Linked DNA regions of Yarrowia lipolytica. The protein of the gene in region 1 interacts with the protein of each later gene in a pairwise test. Links are inferred from orthologs where the notes say so. Each region holds a gene or a part of one and is shown on either strand. Other genes may lie near its edges.

Evidence for each region. The genes of interacting proteins can lie anywhere in the genome.
Region 2: the proteins of YALI1_C31281g (region 1) and YALI1_A21720g interact in a two-hybrid assay, tested with the Schizosaccharomyces pombe proteins (2 studies listed by BioGRID). The link is inferred for Yarrowia lipolytica from reciprocal best matches to the Schizosaccharomyces pombe genes mdv1 and nup44.

Annotation. Positions count from the first base shown.
Region 1 is NC_090772.1:3,124,272-3,131,390, forward strand, and holds YALI1_C31281g (uncharacterized protein), read left to right. Parts: upstream 1-3,829; coding exon 3,830-5,584; downstream 5,585-7,119. Other genes in the region: YALI1_C31243g (uncharacterized protein), read right to left, coding at 1-62; YALI1_C31252g (uncharacterized protein), read right to left, coding at 92-976; YALI1_C31299g (uncharacterized protein), read left to right, coding at 5,692-5,830, 5,881-5,999; YALI1_C31308g (uncharacterized protein), read left to right, coding at 6,530-6,609, 6,675-6,900; YALI1_C31315g (uncharacterized protein), read right to left, coding at 6,947-7,119.
Region 2 is NC_090770.1:2,169,139-2,176,199, reverse strand, and holds YALI1_A21720g (uncharacterized protein), read right to left. Parts: upstream 4,240-7,061; coding exon 2,653-4,239; downstream 1-2,652. Other genes in the region: YALI1_A21746g (uncharacterized protein), read right to left, coding at 424-1,668; YALI1_A21711g (uncharacterized protein), read left to right, coding at 5,143-5,610; YALI1_A21696g (uncharacterized protein), read left to right, coding at 6,591-7,061. UniProt on the Schizosaccharomyces pombe protein: Functions as a component of the nuclear pore complex (NPC).

The DNA.
Region 1 (7,119 bases):
TGCGGGTGCGGGTGCGGGCCGTGTTGCTGCTGATGGTGCAGTGGCGCCTGGCCCTGCCACATGTGTGGGGGCGGGTGGTGGCCAATGTGGGTCACGTGCATGGGCACGTGCATGCCCGGGGGCGCGTGTTGGTGGTGGGGTGGCGGCGGTGGGCCGTGGGGGTGCTGGGAGTGAAGGAGGCCCCGTTGTTGCTGGGGGCGGATGGGGCCCCGTTGTTGGTGGCCCTTGGGTGCTGGGGGGTGGACGTGGGGCACAGGTGGGAGGCGGACACCCCCGCGAGTATTGGACCGCCGTGAGCGACGGCCGGGTTACCGGGTCCGTGGCCGTGGTTTTTGATCCGGTTACGCGATTTGATGACGTTGGTTTTAAGACTGATGGGGCGTGCTCGGCCGTGCAGCTTAAGGAACAGGCCACACGCGTTGCAGAGCACCTGTCCCGCCTCGTCACGTCGCCAGAGCGGGGTGGTGGAGGTCTGGCAGTTTTGGCACACGGGCGTGAGCGAAAACTGGCCCCGCCCGTTGTCCTTGTCCTTGGATGGGGCGATAGGCGCATCCGACGACCCAGCGTTGGGCGCGGTGGAAGAGCTGGCGCCGGTGGGGGTTACGGAGGCGGAGTTGGGGGTGGCAGAGTCGCTTCTCGCCTCTCCTGCCGTCTCGGACGTGTCGTTTTTCGGTTCGTTTTTGATGTCGCTGTTGGTGTTGGTGTTGACGTTGGCGGTGGCTCCGTTCGTGCCACCAGAAGGAGAGGGACATGTCGAGGCGTTGGTAGAAGGTGGGGGGTTAGTGGTGGGGTTGGAGGGAGCGCCAGGCGCGGAGGGCGCGGCGGCGGACCCGGTTGTGGGTGGCTCCGCTCCTCCAGCTTCTCCAGCAGTCACTCCTGGGGCTCCCGCTTGTGCTTCCTCGCCCTCGACCTTGACCTGGGGCTCAGGGCCAGCCCCGACAACAACCGGCGTGAAACCCATTGTAGCAGCAGACATAATATTCCTTCACGTGGGGCGTTCTATCCAAATCCTCCGCTGTCCAAGCCGACTGTGGGGTTTTTGTGTTTCAAGGTGATGCAAAATTTTCCTATCGCTCACTATCGGCTATTTTGGTTATCGATATCATCCCGATTGGGATGTGGGTAGGGGTTGTGGTAGAGTTAGTGGGGAAATGAACTCGAAGATAGAAGATCAATTTTAGACGAGTAGATGATAATGTCCGTAAGATGTAAAAATATGTATAATATTTATTGGGACGATCTTCTAATTTAGATATTTTTAAATTTCTTATATCTCCAGTTTTGAAATTTATATGGATTTAATTCTCCGTTTTCACACCAAGTTTCTTTCTCCCAATACCCCCTTTAAACACTCACGTGAGTCCCAAACTTTATTGAGAAGACTTTGCAAAATAATATCTGTAAATTCGGACAGCGATTGAATCGCGGTAATAAGGGTATCATAAAACAAGTTAAACCGGGACGATTCCAAGTATGTATTTTTTCCACATGTTTTCCCCTCCAGCGCTCTTCTACACACCCCTCAACCAAATGGAAACCTCCAGAACCTAAACTTCAAATTAAGGTTCCATCAACAAAGCACATAATCATGTGACAGTGCAGATTTTAATCTTCTCTTATTGGTCAGTGCTAGATAGTGCACGTATTGCGTGATAAGAAACAGCGTGAAACGGGCCAATACGAAGAGAAGAAAATTCCCCAAAAAATCCAGGACATTCTCCTGCGAGATCAAAACTCACTTGCGTCAAATCTGCGATTTTCTGACCAAGGTTGCTATTTGTTTGCGCTCTTTTTTCATCTCCCCCACCTTGCACGATAAGATAACCTATCTAGAAACTATAAATTTGAAGGACACGCGATAGGTGATAACGTCACGTGATAATAAAGAGGATGGAGATAAACCAAAGTCGATGGGGAAGACGGCGGGGATTTCCAAACAAGAAATAATCAAATACTAGCACGTGAGGAGAGTCTGAGGGTGAGGGGGTTTCAATCACGTGACTCGTATTGGTGTCAGGGCAATTCTTCCAAGTTTTTGAAATCCCTGTAGGGTTATTGGTTACCCGGACATGGGGGAGGCTGGTGTCAAAAAAAAACATACCAGCCGTAAAAACTTTTACCCGGAGGAGGTAGGGTAAATGTTGGTTGAAAGCAGTGGGATTAGTAAGGAAAAAGAAATGTGAATGGAAATTTTGAAGGAAAATTAATTTGAAGGAAAATGTGACGGAGAAATTTGACGAAAAATGCGAAAGGAGAACTGTGCAAGGAGAAATGTGAAAAGAGAAATTGGGAGAACAAAAACTTGTGTACTTGTTGGGTGGTATTGGAGATATGGGATAACAGAAACGGTCTATTAGGATTCTAGATATGATAAATCCAACGGTCAACTCCTCGCTTTTGTCGGAGGCGCGATTCTCCTGTTATAAGCCATACTCTTCTCTCACAACGGTGTTGTCATACAATGATATAGCTGTTTTGGTTACAGAAATACCAGTGTCCATGTAGGTCGAACCTTTTGTTGCTTGGTATGTTGACTCTTTCTCCTTCTCCTGTTTTGATTCTAACAGACTAACTGTCTGTCTCCAATACTTGTAAAAGTCGTCAGTACAGACCCAGCTCTGCGGTCAATGAACAGACACAGTTGAGGACTCAAGAGTTCAAATTCGTGTTAAAAAAAAAAGCATTCAAATACACTCAAAGTCGCCTAGCTTAGTCATTCTCTGTCGGTGGATCTTGAGAGCCCGTGTTGTATGTTGTTCAGACATACGTTGATGGACACAACAGAACATAACGGTGTCTTGAACAATAGCAAGAGTTTTATAAATCTCGCCAAATGGATGTAGCCATTGGTTGAAACGTTCATTGAAACATCTCTGATACTTCCTCCTATCGCCAGAACATGTTTATGACCATCCAAAGGCCTCCTTTTTGAAAACAAAAGTCACTAGTAAACTGCCCTACCACAGCTTGGAAACCTGGGAAATTATCATCTGGCGAGATCCAGTGAACAGTCTGGCGACATAAAATAACTTCATTCTTCTCTTCAGCTCGATATTGTGCAACAAGCACATCATAGCCAGAGTCCTCACTGCTGAACGCCCGTCCTCTACAATTAATAGAGCCATTGACAACCTGGAGACTTAACAGAAGTCCTTCTAGCATCATTTGCTGCCATATTTAAAAAAATCAGCTCTCTGCCACAATTTTTCGAGCTCGATTGTAAGAGTCGAACCAGTTTTCAAAAACCTATCTCCGCCTAGTTGGACTTTAGTTAAGACTGAAAGTGACCTGGGGGTCCAAATAATGGGTTCCAGGGAAGCGACCAAAACATAACCACTACCATTCAATTTAGCTCTCAACGCCTCATTTCCTCATCCCAAGTTCACCCTACTTTCTCATACAATATTTCCACATACTCGCACTTCCGTATCCGGCTCGTACTCAAATTTACTTATCCTGTACTTGACCTTTCCCAACAGAATCCCAACAGAACATATCCACCAAGTCATAACCTATCCCGATCCAAATCTACACACATTATGTTTCTCTCTCTCTCTTAATTGCTCATAACCTGTAGTTGGTCACGTGCCTTATCACGTTCACCGAACACCAATTATTCCACACGCGCGAGCTGAGGTTCATGCATGAGTGCCCATCCAACCACATTTGATTATAATATTTAGAGTTCCTAGGGTGGACTTAGTAATCGTAGACGGGGCCATTTATCTGGCGATGTAGTAGTCCAAATACAAAAATAATTACATGGCCATTTTCTCCTCATTCAGATGTTCATTTTGATACCCCCAACCCCCCAAATTGTCACACCTGCATGTTCACATATCAGATCCTCCAAACCCCCACCCCAACCTTTCCTCTACACACAGCAATGTCCGACGTAACGCATTTTTCGAAAGTCGTGGCGGCCACGGCGTCGACGTTGGTGTCGGGCGATCTGAGCCAGAGTCACGTGATGCGCGACATTTCGCGGCCCGCGTTCCAGAAGCGAATTTTTTCCTTCTCGAAGCGGCCGTCCGAGTTGGTTCGCATCACCTCTTCTTCCAAGGACGTTTTGTTGCCGGATGAGATGCTGGTGGACATTCCCAGCAACGAAAATCAGTTTTCGCTGTTTCAGGGCTTCCAGGCCACGCTTCCGGAGCACTCTGTGGGCTCTCAGCTGCTTCTGGGGGATGGATCAAAAGTCGGCGAAAAAAGTGCTCGAGAACAGCTGGTGGAGGGCAAGAAGAGCCTGAGTCACAAGCTGGACTTGTTGGAGGTGCGCAAGGCACTGGCGGCAAATGAAATCACCGAGATTGACGCTCGAGTGGCGCACTTGCAGTCCATGCGACAGATTGTGTTTGACAGAGTGGCGTCTTTGGAGCAGCAGGAGTTCCAGCTGGAAAGTGAAGTGCTGCGAATCGATGCAGAGCTGGAACAGATGGAGGAGGAGAAGGAGGAGGTAATCCAGAGACATGATTACGAGACCCGAACCCCGGAGGAGTTGGAGGATGATGTGGTCGATCTGAAGAGTGTGTCTGAGAAACTACAGAGCGCAAGTCAAAAGACCCTTCCCCGACGAAACCTCAGCCGACGAAAAACGCAACCCACTCTGCAACAGTACTACGAGCCAGGCAACAAGATCCGACAAATCAAAGCGCATTCCGATTCGGTCACGTGCCTGGACTTTGACATTCCGTTCGGAACCATGGTTTCTGCAGGCATGGATCTGGGACTCAAGGTGTGGGACCTGTCACGTGGCGATCTCGTGACCGATCTCAAGGGCCACAATGCATCAGTTACGTGTCTTCAGGTCGACAATAACGTGCTTGCCACCGGATCAGCTGACGCTACCATTCGGGTCTGGAACCTCGACCAGGTGGTTAGTAATCCCGATGCCCAGGATGAAGGTGATGATGCCTACACCATTCACGTGCTCGACAGTCACGTGGGTGAAATCTCTGCCATTCATTTCTCAGACCATACGCTGGTGTCTGGTTCTGCTGACAAAACCATTCGACAATGGGATCTCAACACTGGACGATGTGTTCAGACTCTGGACGTGATTTGGGCCAATTCTGCGCAGAATGCGCTGTACTCGAACGATCGGCTCCGAACCGGGTTCGACGCAAACGCACCCTTCATCGGCGCAGTGCAGTGCAGAGATGCAGCCCTTGCCACCGGTACCGCTGACGGTATTGTGCGTCTTTGGGATTTGCGGTCCGGACAGGTGCAGCGAACCCTACAGGGCCATACCGCTGCGGTAACGTGTCTGCAGTTTGACGACGTGCATCTTGCAACCGGATCTCGTGACCGGTCTGTTCGAATCTGGGATCTGCGAATGGGCAACATCTTTGACGCGTTTGCGTATGATTCGCCCATTACTTCGTTGGATTTCGACAACCGAAGAATCGCCAGTACCAATGGAGAAAACACCGTCAAGATTTATGACAGAGCAGCTGAGAAGCATTGGAGTCTGGGTCGAGGAGAGGGAGATCCCGAGGCGCCAGAAAGCACGGTGGTGAAGACCAAGGAAGGCTATTTGGTGGAAGGTGGTGGAGATGGAGTGGTGGGTGTGTGGGCCTGTTAGTACTAGCGATGCGAGTACTAATAATTTTGGGATCATGAGCGGAGCGAATTGTTTCATTTCACGGGACATTGTGAGCGAAGCTAGGTCGTGGAATCGTGAGAAGACAAATGGTCTCAACTACTCTCATGGGTGCCACCGAAAATGAGCGGAGCAGAGGCCCTCAATGCTGCCAGAGATGTTTGCTGTCTTCACCATTTGCAGCAATGAAAATGGGTGGTGTAGACTGTGTCTCGTGTCCGGAATCATGTTGACAGTTGGTGTGAGGCAGACTGAACTTGCCCGTTACTGCTACTCAGCAGTTGATGTTTGGCTTACCATAAGAGTGTCAACCGCCCCACAGTTTTCTTTCCAGGTGTTTTTACCCACAGTCAGCTATCCAGGAAAAGCCCAGAGAGGCAATATGTATATAAGATAGATTGAGTGTGATGACCGGAAGTGAGTGGCTCAAATCCACCAGATAGCAATTCGTAAACGTGTTGTAGATTACTGGTGATACCTGAACTGGTTATAGAGTATACCCCACGGGATATAAGGCACTAGAGAGCCCCAATCGTCAACTGAGTCAGTTCTGAAAATTTTTTTTTTTTTTTTTTTTTTTTTTTTTTTTTGCTAGGAGTGATAAGATGTGGCCCCTATGTTGTCTCGGTGGGTCCCATGACTCCATCTCCACCAACTCCGTATTATCAGGTGCTCAGTCACTAGTCATTCATTGCAAGAACCAATAAAGAGCACTGGCGTTGTACTAGAAGAAGCGACACGGTAGTTATTTTGACCCTACCGTTTTATCAGTGAAAACTTGGTCTGTAGTCCAGTGGAGAGTCCATGAATGGGCATATTGAGATCTAGCTCCAATTGGATGAAAGATGCACTTTGAGGGACCTTTTTGGTATTTTTTGCATGTATTCGGATGGACGTTCTTGCCAATCGACCACCCTATAGTGGCAAATGAGGCCTGGTAAGGTACAAGTATTATTTCATCGGTACATCTGCTGGAATTCTACTGAATCTCCTTCCACCAACTCGTAGTTTCTTGACTAAATGGGTGCATCATTTTGTGAGCATGAAAAGAAGGAACGGAAGATGTCATTAGTACATTGAGAAAACTCCCCCGTTGCATCCAGCATCATGGAGGCACTCTCAAATCAACCCATATAACTCATGAGCGTCATTGTCCCATATCGACACAACTTTCATCGATTGTAACCTCATTTCAGCACATCATCTTGCCGGTGCATTATCTCGCATTATCTCTGCACACTATCTTGGCTCTCATCTCTATCTACAGGCCGCCGGTTATCGACGTGCAAGCTTGCTGAACTCAAGACATGCACGTTTCGACACGGCCTGATTCCGCTGCTAATACTACCAGTAGCAAAAGAGTTGTCTCGTCAGGATAACCGTTTGACTTTTGGATCTTGTACTGTCATACAAGATCCCATGCGGCTCGTGGCAACATGTCGCACTGGCTCTCGCAATGTTTAACGACAAAGTGCTGCTTCGAGACTCGGGGTCTGGGAGATAGTCAATATGGACCC
Region 2 (7,061 bases), on another chromosome or scaffold:
GCGGCTTTTTGTGTCCAAACTACACCGTCCCGTGTGTGTGATTACGTAATCTACTCCTCCACTTGCAAGAGCTATTTTGATGATGTATAGAAGCATTCTGGGGATATTTCCAGAGTACCAAGAAACATCAGAGCGTCTGGAGGTTGACATAATGGTCTTCACTGGCCAGTTCCGATGACGTAAGTTCGCATATCGTATAAGTATTAAAGTATTGACAAAATTACACACTGTGCCAGTACAAGTACTCTACTGTACTTCCAATATGGAGTTATCAGCACAGCAAAGAGCCACTCAACCACTTAGAATATACGTTCTCATTCCATTTTAAAATACACCAATACTAACAATATACAATAGATAAACTGGCCTTTTTATTTCTTCTCGCCAGTGTGACCATCGCCCTCATGGCACCCTCATCCATATCTAGCCGTTGAGACCCCGACCCTCGATACTAACTCCACTCTTCTTCTTTCCAGTCTTGGTGACGCCCAGCTTGCCCTTGAGCCGCTTGAAGGTCATGTCGTTAGTAGAGCCACCACGGTTCTGAGGAATGATCTCGCTCTTGGGTGCAACACGGTAGTTGGCGGGCTGTGCAGAGGGGATATGGGCTCGTCGTCGTCGCTCTGCCTGCTTTTCGGCCAGAGTTCCGTCCTTGAGCGTCTGGGCTCGCTTGGCAGCCACAGCCAGCGCAATCTCCTGTGTGCTGGGATCAAACGACCGTGTGCTCACCACCTTTTCTCGGTAGTTGTCTGATCGGCCCATGATGGGGCGCGTCCAGTCTGCCACAAGCTTGTCTGCAATACGCTTGATTCGCAGCTGCGGCTGCTTGGACTTTCGGTAGAAGGTGACCACCTTTCCGAGTCCGGATTCTCGCAGATGAATGGACTTGATGGGCAGACGGACCAGAGCGTCAAACAGTTCCTCCTGGATGGAGTATGAAGGAAGAGAGGCATCGGGAAGAGGCTCCAGCCAGATTCGTACAGCCTCCAGCAAGTTGTTGTCCAGAATTGAGTCGGCCAAATGATGCTTCTGCAACACGTCCTTGACCTCGGGAAGCAGCTGTAGCTTATGTGTGGCAGGCTGGCCCTCTCGGTTGGATTCCGCGTCGGCAATGGCCGCGTTTCGCATCTTCTCCCGCAGATTGGAGATTCGCTCGTCCTGCATCATCTCGATATCGTCCTCTCCCAGCTTCTTTCGTCGCTGAGAAGCAGGCTTCATGGCCGCGTCGATCCGAGCCTCAATCTCCCGTCGTCGCGCCATGCTGGGGTCCAAATCGATATGTGAGTGATCGATCTCGTCCTCATCGTCGTCCGCGGCCCTCGAGTCCTTGGTGGCTCGCTTCTTGAGCGTCTTCTTGCCTGAGCTTTGCACCTTTCGTCGGTGGGCGCTCAGCTTGTTATAGTCGTCGTCGTCGTCCTCAATAGCGGCGTTCTTGATCTCATCCTCATCAAGATCAGACAGATCCGAGTCGTCCTCATCGTCGTCAGCAGGAGCAGCTTCTGTAGTAGTAGCAGCTTCAGCAGGGGCTTCTTCTGGGGCTTCAGAAGCCTCCTCGGCAGCCTCTCCAACATCCTCAGCAGGTTCCTCAACATTCTCCTCCTCGTCAACGCGGTCCACGCCCTCGTCGACGGGCTCCTCAGACTTGATCGGCTTTTCTGTGTCACTCATAGTGTCGGTATGGTGATGGCGTTGCTGGATGTTGGTCAAAGTAAAACATGATGTCGGGGTTAGGGTTAGAAAGGAGACGATAGTGTAGAACGAGTGCGTTGTTTGCGACGGTCAAAAAACCCCTCAGTCGAACCAGAGTCACTTATTTGCTTATATGACAGCTTTACAGCTTATTATATGTAATTTCAGACACTTGACAACCTCCACCATCACACATCCAAATGATGCGTTACGTAAGACAAGTCCCAACTTTCGATACTCTTCGAACCCACCAAAGAAAGACCCATAGACCACACACCAAAGGGATTCTCATAAATGCTCCAAAAATAGGGAAATTGTAAAAGAGAGATACAAATAGCCAAACAAACAGTACTTGTAGCCTCAAGAGCTGCCCACATCTCGACCAAGCACGAAATAACAGCGTCATCATACTCCCCCCCCCCCACCCCCACTCAGTCAAACTTCAGGTTAGGGTTCTTAAAATACTTCTACCACTAAGTAGCTCACAACAGCGAGACTACATCAATATCCAAATCAATCAACAATGTTCGGTGGCCAGCCCCAGATTTCCGACGAAGATATTCGAAAGTACAACCTCATGACCCAGCGAACCCTGCAGAACGCTCTGTACCTCGCCATTGGTCTGTGGACTGGTGAGTATTGATGGCACATCACAGTTGGCAACACAACAAGACGACCGCCCTCCATGTGACTGAACAACACTATTTATGTGGCGAAAAGCAATCATGAGACATATCAATCGGTGGTCACAACGAACAGCCTGTCCTTCTACTCCCTTACTAACTCAGCTCCCTTTGCTTTCGAGCTCATCAAGGGTCGATTCTAAACTACTCTCAATATAGTGTGAATACATGTACATATTATTAGGCATCACCATGGGATGACAAAGGGAAATACATTGTACAGTATAAAATTATAATATGGTCTAGTTGTAGCTATCATACATGGATCCAGCTACTGTTCTTATTTCTTCTCCAGACTAGAGATCTTGTTCTCAACCTCAGCCATATCCTCCTTGAGCACCTTGGCAAGGAATGCAATACCCGTCTGCTGGTCCTTGAGAATCTTGGCCAACTGCTCCAAAGTCTCCTCGTCCCGCTCCCATGTCAATATGGTGCCATCGGGAGCCTTCTTAGACTGCGAGTCGGTAGCGTGCCGTGCCTGCTCTCTAAGAACAGACATACGTGCCCAGATCTCGTTGATTCGGCCAAACACAGCCGGGTCCGTGACCTTGTCGTTGAGCTGGACGAGGTTCTTTCGCAGCACCTCCTCCTCGGGCTTGAGGACATACCCACGGTTTCGGAGCACCTGGGTAACTGCTGCAAGAGCAACAGTTCGGTTAACGAGCCGCTGGTGACGAGCCCGCATCTCGGCAATCTTCACGGTAGTCACAAGATCGTGCTTGTTGGTTAGCTCGTCAAGCTTGTTGTTGACTTCATGCATTCTAACCCGGTACACGCCGACCTGCTGCTCCTGCTGCTTGGTTCGCTTCTGCAGATCGGTGAAGCCCACGGCCAGGACAGGCACAGACGATTTGTATGGTCGCTCAGCAACAGCCTTGTCCCACTTCTCAGGAGACTGACCTTGTGGCATCTGGTAGTAGGGAATATCATCCAGAGGGATTCGGTTGTAGAAGTAGAATTGGAATGCACAATTGGGGGAGGTGGGGTCCCATCCGTCCTTGATTCGGGTCAGCTGGGCCTGAACAGAAGGACCGGAGGGCTGATTGGTCTTGGTCAACTGACCGAAACCAGCTTGTTGCTGCTGCTGCTGTTGTTGTTGACCAAAACCGCCCACGTTGTTGTTTGCATTGTTGTTTCCAAAGAACCCTCCCGTGTTTGTGTTTGTGTTTGCATTGTTGGCGTTGTTGTTGCCAAAGAGCCCTCCTCCAGTGTTGGTGTTCGCATTGTTGTTTCCGAAAAGCCCTCCAGTGTTGGTGTTTGTGTTTGTGTTGGCATTGTTGTTACCGAACAAGCCACCTCCGGTGTTTGTGTTGGTATTGGCGTTGTTGCCAAACAGCCCACCGCCCGTGTTTGTGTTTGTGTTTGTGTTGTTCTGGCCGAACAGTCCGCCTCCAGTTGTGTTGGTGTTCGTAGTAGCGTTATTGTTGTTCTGACCAAACAATCCTCCGCCAGTGTTTGTGTTTGTGTTCGCATTGTTGGTGTTTCCAAACAGACCTCCTCCGCCGGTGTTGGTGTTGGTATTGGTGTTTGTATTGACATTGTTTCCAAACAGGCCTCCTCCGGTGTTGGTGTTGGTGTTGGTGTTGTTCTGACCAAACAGACCGCCAGAGGCGCCGGTGGTGCCGGTATTTCCAGTGTTGGCATTGTTCTGGCCAAACAATCCACCGCCCGTGTTGCCAGACGTGTTGTTGTTGTTCTGGCCAAACAGTCCTCCTCCTGAGGAGTTGGTGTTGTTGCTAGTGGCTGCCGAGCCGGCTCCAAACTTGAATCCCGAGCTCATTCCTCCCGCGTTGTTGTTACCGGCCGAATTGGTGTTATTTTGACCAAACGAAAAGCCGCCTGACTGTTGGTTGGTGTTGCCAAACATGATGCCTGTGGTTCTGTTTTTTGCCCAGACGCAATATAGATAAAAATGTAGTTGCACCCGGCGTCACTACAAAGTCTAAAAGTGATAAACCTCAAACACACAACACACACGAAATACCGTAGTGGCAGAACCAAAGCTTAGTAACCACAACTCCCACTTACCCGGCCGACGGAACCATCAACCAATCTGCGTGAGAGAAATGTAGACTGTAGTAAGCCTTTGAGCATCAGCTAACACATCAAAATGTGAGTATTCCAGGGAAACCAGGAGGGCCTGGGGAAGGTGATAAGGGACGCCAGGGAGTCAAATGAGGGTGTTTCGAGCCGGGAATTGGACCCACTTGGCTTTGTTGGTCTCCGTAGGCTGAGATCATGGAACATGGCGAGATACGTTTTTATGACGGGCATTCCGACAGTCTTGAAAAGCCGAAATGTTGTGGACAAGGGAGATAAACGCCAATAAATCAACATGGATGGTTTTTGTGCCCGAGGATATCGAATTATGGAGCCATTCGTGGGGTTGTGGAATTTTTGACATGGTGCACGGTACGATAAGGACATATGTGAAGATGGAGCAAGAGTTGCCAGGGAACTAGAACAGGTTGATGACGGTGATTCTTAGACCCTGTGATGATCAATTTTGGCGTCTTGAGACATGAGTTCATTTACTAAACACAAACACCAAGAACGTCCTGCACTACTGTCGACACAACCACAATGTTTTACCCAACAACCTCATCATGATACACCAATTGCCATGAGTCAATTCTCCTTATTACTTGTTGGAGTGAGGTCCCTTCAACCCCTCAGTCTTTACTCCGATCTCATCTATACCATAATTAGACACTAACGCAGGCCCCGAGAAGCTGCCGCCCACTGGGTCCCATTTGAGGACAAAGCTAACATGCCCGACAACGTGCCCGACGTTGTCGAGGTTGGAGCTACCTCCGCTCCTCTTCTGTCTGCATCCTACTTCATTGGCGCCAAGTGCAAGCCCTACAACGATGACTTCATGCTGTGCAGAGAAGAGTCCCAGGGCTCTGGCGCCATCGACTGTCTCAAGGAGGGCCGACGAGTCACCCGATGTGCCGTCTCCGTCATTGAGGACATCAACAAGAGCTGTCTTGACGAGTTCCGACTCCACTGGCAGTGTCTGGAGCAGAACAACCACCAGCTCAGTGGCTGCCGAAAGGCCGAGGCTCTGCTCAACAAGTGTGTTTTCACCAAGCTGAACCTCGAGAAGAAGATCCCTGGTCTGCGACCCGACGAGGAGCCCGTTTTCCTCAAGAAGGATCCCTGGATCAAGCCTGCCGTTGATGACTTCAAGTCTGTTCGAGCTTACGCCGAGGCTAAGAAGAACGGTACTCTGTAAATGATAACATGATATTGATTTGAGGTGGAATGTATGATGCCTAGAGATAAACGGGGTTGCAGAGCGCAACAAGGTAGCTTCAATATGACTTCTTTCCCACTGCTGTAGCTGTACTTGTACAATGACTGCATAGTATGTCCATACTGTAGCTTGATCATACCACTGTAGAAAAGGCTGGGTTTGAATAAACGAACTAAAGTAAAAGTTAACCAAACTTTCAACAAAGCATGTGAAATGGCAAGTCCAATAACGGAGATATTACGAAAAATTGGTATCGGAACATACATATATTTTCAAGAATTTGTTTAAAACACAGCTTCCCTCTATGTATCAGTGTATTATCCAGAATCCCAACATTGTCGCAACACCGAAAATGAACCCCTAGCTGATCTTTGTCTTAACTAATCCTCAACAAACTGAGGGAGCACCCTGTTTTCAAGATTGAGTTGAAAAAAAGGGAAGCGTGACACGAAAAGGTCGCCTGTATTTAGAATGATGAAATGGGCCTATAAACAACAGGAGGTGACAAAGAACATCTGGCGACAAGGCATACACAGTAAACGTGCTTTCAAAAAGTTTCTCTCGCGCAAACCCTACAAAATGGACATGTGAAATACTTGCTTGGGTCATCGTCAGTGCATGAAACAATCACCTGCATGCACCAAGATGGCGATAATACGGAGACCTACCACTACATTGTAGCCTACTTGTAGCCTACAGTATGTCAGTCACAGCAAGGGGCAATGACATACTCAAGTAGAAAAGAAATAGTCCAGATAATATCACGTGACCAGTTTCACAAATTCACTACCATATGTTGGCAAATAAAAAGACCCCGTCCACATTCGCTCAATGCCCTTTTTTTTTTTTTTTTTTTTGTTTGTGGCGGTGATGGCTTCAAACCTTGATATTGCTATAAATGCATCCATGCTGCTGAAGACTCCATACCGCCGCCACCCTCACAACTCACTCAAAGAGACATGTCGCTCGTCAACCTGAAGCTCCACCAGCTTCTGGAGACGTCTCCGTACTCCACGCAAGAGCAGATTGACCAGGCGTTTCTCAACAAGACTCTCTACAGCTTGCATCATCTGGAGTCCCTGTCAGCCGTCAGTTACGCCTACCAGATTCTGAGAGACCCCCAAACTCGAGAACTGTACAACAACACGGGTGATTCTGTGCTTCCCAGTCTCAAAGAGGGAACCGAACATCCTGTGACTTTCGTCGAGTCGTGTTTTGCTGCATTTCAAGAGTCCGAGTTTGTGGGTCAAGTGCCCATCTTCCAGCTCTTACTGGAGTGTCGAGAGGCCCACTTTCAGTCTAAACTGTGGCCATTCAAAAAGAGCAAGAAGGAGGACAAGTCTTTCCCCCTGGACGCTGCTCTGGTGACTGAGGTGCTCAAACAGTTCTTCCCCGTATCTTCTCACCAACAGATTCTTCTTGATTCTCAA